Linked DNA regions of Nothobranchius furzeri. The protein of the gene in region 2 purifies or fractionates together with the protein of the main gene of each other region. This does not show direct contact. Links are inferred from orthologs where the notes say so. Each region holds a gene or a part of one and is shown on either strand. Other genes may lie near its edges.

Evidence for each region. Proteins that work in one complex are often made in the same cells at the same time.
Region 1: the proteins of pstpip1a (region 2) and wasb purify together in Homo sapiens (affinity purification with western blotting; 3 studies listed by BioGRID and IntAct, with this or other methods). This does not show direct contact. The link is inferred for Nothobranchius furzeri from reciprocal best matches to the Homo sapiens genes PSTPIP1 and WAS.

What each region holds. Positions count from the first base shown.
Region 1 is NC_091755.1:42,288,363-42,292,118, reverse strand, and holds the start of wasb (WASP actin nucleation promoting factor b), read left to right. Parts: upstream 1-1,014; 5' UTR 1,015-1,150; coding exon 1,151-1,252; intron 1,253-1,846; coding exon 1,847-1,987; intron 1,988-2,118; coding exon 2,119-2,205; intron 2,206-2,282; coding exon 2,283-2,379; intron 2,380-3,756. UniProt on the Homo sapiens protein: Effector protein for Rho-type GTPases that regulates actin filament reorganization via its interaction with the Arp2/3 complex. Important for efficient actin polymerization. Possible regulator of lymphocyte and platelet function.
Region 2 is NC_091744.1:68,460,813-68,463,998, reverse strand, and holds the end of pstpip1a (proline-serine-threonine phosphatase-interacting protein 1a), read right to left. Parts: coding exon 3,106-3,186; intron 3,025-3,105; coding exon 2,928-3,024; intron 2,814-2,927; coding exon 2,729-2,813; intron 2,650-2,728; coding exon 2,573-2,649; intron 1,164-2,572; coding exon 1,066-1,163; intron 969-1,065; coding exon 837-968; 3' UTR 587-836; downstream 1-586. UniProt on the Homo sapiens protein: Involved in regulation of the actin cytoskeleton. May regulate WAS actin-bundling activity. Bridges the interaction between ABL1 and PTPN18 leading to ABL1 dephosphorylation.

The DNA.
Region 1 (3,756 bases), on a different chromosome or scaffold from region 2:
ACCGGTCAGCCGAGTTCTCATCCGGGGTTTGGTGATTTACGACGAAGGACAACAGTGAAGAGCCTCGCCCAAAGGAAGAGCTTTCCTGATGGGTGCTGTGCGTTGACTGAATGCACCGCTCAGAGCAAGGATGCTGGTGGGGCCGTGAAGCAGGAGGACAAACGAGAACCAAAGCAGAAGTCCGGTTTCAGGAGCCGGGTGGAAAAACGGAGCCACTATCATTTACTTCCATAATACGTCATATAAGTTTTTGTTCATTAACTTTTACTAAACAAACATTCATTATAGGTTGTTCATTCTGTTAGTTTTTTATGTACAAGATTCTGGTAAGATGTTGCTCGGGTAACAACGAGGAGCTGATGGTCGGCATCGCCACGGAGGAACTTTATTTCACCTAAAGACAACTTTCTGTGTGATGAAACTCATTTAATGTGTTTTTATGTCTCCTGACGACTGACAGGCGGCTCTGTACAAGGTCATGATTTAGGTACCGATGCAACCCGGTGCAATATGTAGGAGATTATGCTGCTGTTGTCGACGGTCAGTCAGAGGGTTACTGATAGTTGTGTGACTCTGAAAGGTGGTTCACACAAGTGAAAAACTGTTTTCTGTTCGTCTCCAACCCACAAACCAAAGAGTATTTAACTGTTACGTTAAGAGAGAGAATGCATTGTTTTCCTGTCACATTCAGCTGTTCGATCAGTTAAATTCAACACCCAGACTGTTTCATCATTTCCTGCATTTACAATTCAGTTGCTTTTAATTGTTTTTATTGTACGACTGGACCAAACACCTTTGTTCCAGAGCCTGCGCGTTTTAAAAATGTATTTAAATGTTGTTTGTCAATAAAAAAAAGTCTCTTCTTTGTACTTCCTGTACATCTGATGCTGATTATTTATGCATGTAAACTCTGAGCTGGAGGGAAGCAGCAGTGCCCTGCCTCTGTCTGAACATGGAAGTGACACGTTCACGTCAGAGTGAGAGAAGACAAGTGGGGGTTAGAGAAGTGTGGCTGTCTGCTTCCTGCTTCGAGCTGATGCTCGCTCAGAACAGAGAAGAGAAACTTCCTGGATCGTAGAGAATATTCCGACCGCTGTCCTCTTCGTTTTAGACTTTTGATGCCGTTACATGTTGGTTTGTGAGAGGCGTCATGAGTCGTGGAGCTAAGAGTAAAACAGAGAGCGATCGAAGCTCTTTGCTGAGCCAACAGGAGAATGACATGTTGGAGGAGCTGCTGGGCAGAAGGTGTGCTGTAAGTTCTGAACCGGGAGGAAATAACCCACCGTTCAATTTATTATTCATCACTTCTGCTGCTAAACAAAACTAACGCATTCCGATTGCCTGCCTATATGTTAGATTTCCTCCTCTTTGAGCCGCTAAAACGTCACATGCTGAAGAGGCAGGCGTTAGCTGAGGCCTGTCTCCTAAAACATCATCCTTTTGAGTTGGGAACTGAAAGATCCTTTCTGTAAGCAGCTGTGAGTGATGTTAAGTTATTTGCTGTTGGGTCACCATGACGGAGGCAGCTGTAACAGGAAATGCTGGCTGGCTGGATTCTTCCTCTCCTGTCAGATGTAGACGCCATGGCTGGTTTGGTCTGACAGCAGAGCAGAAGTTTAGTTTTTGACTTCATTCGTCCGTAGGAGTAAGCTGGCAGAGCCGTGAGACATCAGACGTGTGTCAGGTGTAATCCGGAGAAGACAGAGAGCCTTTTGAGCTCTTATCACAAAAATGAGAGCAGAGGAGGAAGTTATCCACCAGCAACGAGCAAATTTACATGTCAACTGGGTGTGTGTGTGTGTGTGTGCGTGCGTGTGCGTGTGTGTGTGTGCGTGTGTGTGTTTAGTCCACAGCCACCGCTGTAGCACAGCTGTTCATGGCTCTGCCACACAGCCCGTCCACATGGAGCCTGCAGCACACCGGAGTGGTCTGCTTCGTCAAAGACAACCCTCAGCGCTCCTACTTCATCCGGATGTTCGATTTGAAGGTCAAATAAAGAATCTATGAGCTCATCCTCTCTAGGTTTTGTGACTGACGTCTCCGTTGGAGAAGCTGTGACTCAGATGTGACGGGAGTTAGTGAGGGGCAGACGCGCTGACCAGGCACTTTTTTCCACAGGCAGGGAAACGGGTTTGGGAGCAGGAGCTGTACGACCAGATGGCTTACTTCACGCCTCTGCAATACTTTCACACCTTTCCTGCAGATGTAAGCGCGCACTAATCACACAAGGCAATAACTGTGTCAGTATGAAATTGTGAGTGTGTGTTTGGGTGAGTTAACAGGACTGCCAGGTGGGCCTGAACTTCACGGACCAACAGGAGGCAGACGCCTTCCAGCATGCTGTCGTGGAGAAAATCAACCAGCGGAACAGCCGGATGGGTCAGCACGCTCCTGCTCCTCTCACTACAGAGCTTTAACCCTCCGGAGGCAGGCGTTGCAGATTAGCAACGTTAAAACCTACCGACCTGGTTTCTCCACATACGTGTTTCATGAGCATGTTTTAACTCAGGAGCACCCCTGAAGGACTTAGTTGTTCGTCCTTTTATCATAACTTACTTTGAGCCTGAGAGGGTTAAGCAGACGTTTAGAAGGACACGCTTCCATGTTTATATTTAGAACAGGTTTGGGTTATGGGCTCGGCTGTAGCACCCTACATCAATAGTAGTCAACGGGGGCGGATCTTCAGGGGGGAACATTGTTGTAAAGCCTTGCCTTCCTCTGCTGCCTCCCTACTTCTATGTCCTAAACGGTGTATTCACATCTGGGTCGGCCCGGTCCATCCCTGGCAGGGTAATTGTGTTCACATCGGGGTAATCTGTGTGTTTTCTGTGCTCAGCCGACCATTTTTTCCAGATCTCATCTCCAGCGGACAGCTTGGCACTGACAACACATCCACTTCGGACCGACTGGGTGGCCAAAGTTCATGTCTGCCTACAGAGAAAGCCTTTGATTGGCAAGCAGAATCAGCCAGTGCTGGCTTCCTGCATACATGATTCATAATCATTCTGGATGCAGTGGAGTAAACATCTCCTCCGACTGCAGCTCACACCTGCCGTGGGAGCACAAAGCCAGACAGCTGTGAGGAGCGCGTGGCGGTCTCAGTGAGACAGTAGGAAGCTGTGTGCTTCATGTCAGAGTCTCTCAAAGCAACGCAACTCTCAGCCACCTTTGTTTACTAATTGAAAAAAGGACACCGTGGACTTCTCCATGCATCTTTTGCCCCGCCTACATGCTCGGAGACGTCTACGTTCCTGAGAAGGCTGTGCAAACAAAACCTGGCCATGGTGGGATGGGCCAACCCAGCCAGGACCCAACCGGGCTGGGCCAGATGTGAAAATGCCACGAGTGATGGCAGAATCAGTCCAGCAGGGGCGGATTAAGAACTGAAGAACATCCGGGGCTTAACACACGCACACACGCGCGCGAACACACGCGCGCGCGCGCACACACACACACACACACACACACACACACACACACACACACACACACACACACACACACACACACGCACACACACACACACAAGTGACACGCACTAGTCAACATCATATATATTTGTCTTGTACCACATCATTTTTAATCTGAAGCTACATATTAAGCATTTTCAGGGCAGAGTATTGTTCCTGTTAGTGTTTAGTGTGAGATGATAGTAAATATTACCTTTCTTTCTCCAACAACTTTACCTGATAAGCTAACTTTAGGCAAACCAGCAGCACAACAAATATTTTCTAATAAGACTCACAAACCTGAGTC
Region 2 (3,186 bases):
AAATCTTCATATATAAACCCTCTGGTCTCTGTTAAGGTAGCGCGACTCGGGTTGCGAATGACCACAGTCACCAATTCTTGTCATGTGTCATGCCTATGTATGTATGTGTGTCTGATCTCAGAATTGTGTGTACTGAAACACTAATTTCCCTCTGGGATTAATAAAGTATCTTTGAATTGAATTATCAGGTCAGATTATTTAAATGTCAAAAAAAAAAAGTCCATGCAATGTTTGTGAGCTGGAACTCGCTCTAAACCCATATGTATATTTGATTTCTTGGCAACCTTTGTGAACGTTTGACAGGAAATGACCAGTGTGGTTATAGTGTAGCACCCAATGCCATTCGCCCCCCTGCAGGGTAACCAGACACCAAATTCAACCATGCATCAGCTGCATGACCTAAGAATAAGGTCTGATGCATTCTTCTTATATTCCACTTTCTAAATATCTTTTGCTGCAGCAGACCAGTCATAATAATAAATAATCAAACTTTTCTTTTGCATACTAATAAGAATTTTTCATTCTGTACAAAGTTGTAAAACCACTTCATAAGCATTTCAGAAAACAAACAGTAGCACAACTTATCTGCAAATTATGTTGAGTTTTTTAATACAAACCATAAAATATACAAAATAAAGCTTAAATACATTTTAGTGCAATAATCGTGTTCAGGAGGTTAATAAATCTTCTAGAAGTTTGAGGAATGTTGATAAATGGAATATTGCCATATCCTCATCACAGGGGCTTCAGTTTATAAATGATTCCTAAATTGAGGTGACAAGATTTATATAACTTAAATGTGTGGAAATGGGAGTTATCCTTGCAAGAAGGCTAACTTATTCTTGGACGAGATAAGAACCAGGAACCAATCCAGAAATGCCGTTTCGTTCTACCATCCACCAGCCATCCTCGCCCTTTTCCTTAACAACCACAACATCACCAACACATATAGAGAGCTCATCTTCTCCCTAACCGGGGACACAAAACAGCCATGTCAATGACGTTTCTTACCAAACATGAAGCATGTTAGGTCTGAAAAGATCTAATCTGTGTGAAGAATCATACCTGAGCTATGTAGTCGTACAGGGCTTTGTACTCATCACTGCTGGCCTGGGTCACCTGTAGTCCAGGAATGGATGCGTAAACGCCTTCTGAGGTTTGTGCTGAGGACACAATTCGATATAGAACAATAGATCACACATCAGTCTTTTTGTGAAACAAGCATTTTTAGGCCCGAGCAGCGAAAGCGCTGCGAAGGTCTGTATTGTATCTGCTCTGTTTATTTTTCTTCCGCCAAGTAAACTGGCTTTGTGGAGGCCGTAACATAAGCGAAAACTCAGGAATTTTTGCACACCTGTCAGGCATGGTGTAAAATTTTGTATTTTAAAGGTCCCCCAAAAAATCGCAATAAAACTAGCTCCACAGCGCCCCCTAGAATGTGAAAAATACCCCCCTCCATAAAGCTTAGTTTATCGTACAGTTATGAAATTTTGTACATTTGTAGTACTCAGCAGTCCGCACAGAAAAGCCTCTTGCAACCATGGTCAACATCAAACAGGAAGTCGGCCATTTTGGTTTGAAGTGGTGATTTTGACCCCGTTTTGGCAGTTTCTAGAGTCCGCTTCTGATTGATTTACTTGATCATTTTTCGCACGATCGTCTCAAAAGTTGTGGGAAATTGCTCAGAAGGGATGGGCGATCAAATAGAAAAAATAAAACTGACTTTTCGTATATGCTGAGGGGTGTGGCCAGGCCTCGAATTTCGACTACTCGCCAAAAAAATATAAATGGCTATAACTTCATACTCGAATAGAGTAGAGTTACAAAAATTTCTGTGGTCTGCACTATATTTGAATTTAAATCTGCCATCGCTATCGGCTAAGAGGTACCCTATGATGTTAGCTGGTACCATATGATGTCATAATGCTGGTTTGAGCCTCTGTGTGTGTGTGTACATTTGTTAGCAGCACCTCCCTCTCGGTCTGCCAGGCAACTCCTCCATGTGGCACATTTTTCAAACAGGAAATGGGAGTGGAGTTAGACTCTGGTAGGGAGTGACTTGCTCTTTAATATCACTTGGCATCTAACTGACCTGGAACTTCTAATCATAAAGCCAATGTGTGTGTGTATGTAAGAGGAGGAAAAGTGCTATCCTGACAATATTTAAACACTAAAGAGTAAAAAAAAAAAGCAACAAATAGTCCAAGAAAACTTTGAAAGACACTAAAAGTTTAGAAACGATTGATTCAAGACTACTAACAAAAGATTCCAACAAAGTACTGTCTGGGACATTTGACTAGTACTTTGTCTACTCGCTAAATACTTTTTGACTAACACCATTTATAATGGTTTTCTGTTCAGGAGTTGTAAGCTAATCACAAAATATGTGAATGCAAATTTAAATCGTATTGAATATAAAAGTCTGTTAGCTCAGATTTGCATATTTATTATGAACTTCATCTTTTGGTTCTGTAACGTGATGTTGCTACACCTTTTTTTTGTCAGAGATTACAATCTTGTAGGTGTCTGGGTCCAAATCTGCAGTGTAACTTGAATAAATTTGGTACCTAACCTGCAGGTTGTGCAACAGGCTCATTGATGTTGAGTTTGGAGCCAAAGGTATTACTTCCTGTCAGGAGACTTGAAAACCTAATGGTTAAAACACATGATCAATGAGTGAAAAATGTAAAAACAAAAATCAAGTAAATTTTCTATAATGTTTGTGAACCTTTTCTTGACTCCTTCTATAAATCCAGCGCTGCCGTTTGAGTCTGCTGCATCGTTATCATAGTAATTCTGGTATTCAATTGGAGCTGTGAGGGGATAAAAAAAAAGTTATGCCTCCACAGCTGCGTGATAACAATTAAATTATCTCTCGACATGGAACATATTCAAATCACCAGAGGAAAGTTGCAGGTGATGCATACCTGGGGGGGTTGAACTAGTCTTCCTGCCCTCCACAAAGTGGTTGTTGTCTGTGATGATGTCACAGCTTTCAAGCGTTGTCCTCACGCTCTCGTAACACTGAGGGACCAGTTTGACCAGAGGAAATATGGCTGCTGATGACTGTTTCATTACATCTGTAGGAAAATGAGGCACGCCTACCTCGTCGTCTTTCACACACTGCATGGATAAGTGGTTGCAGTGCACCCACAACGCATTCCTAATGACGCTGATACGATCCAC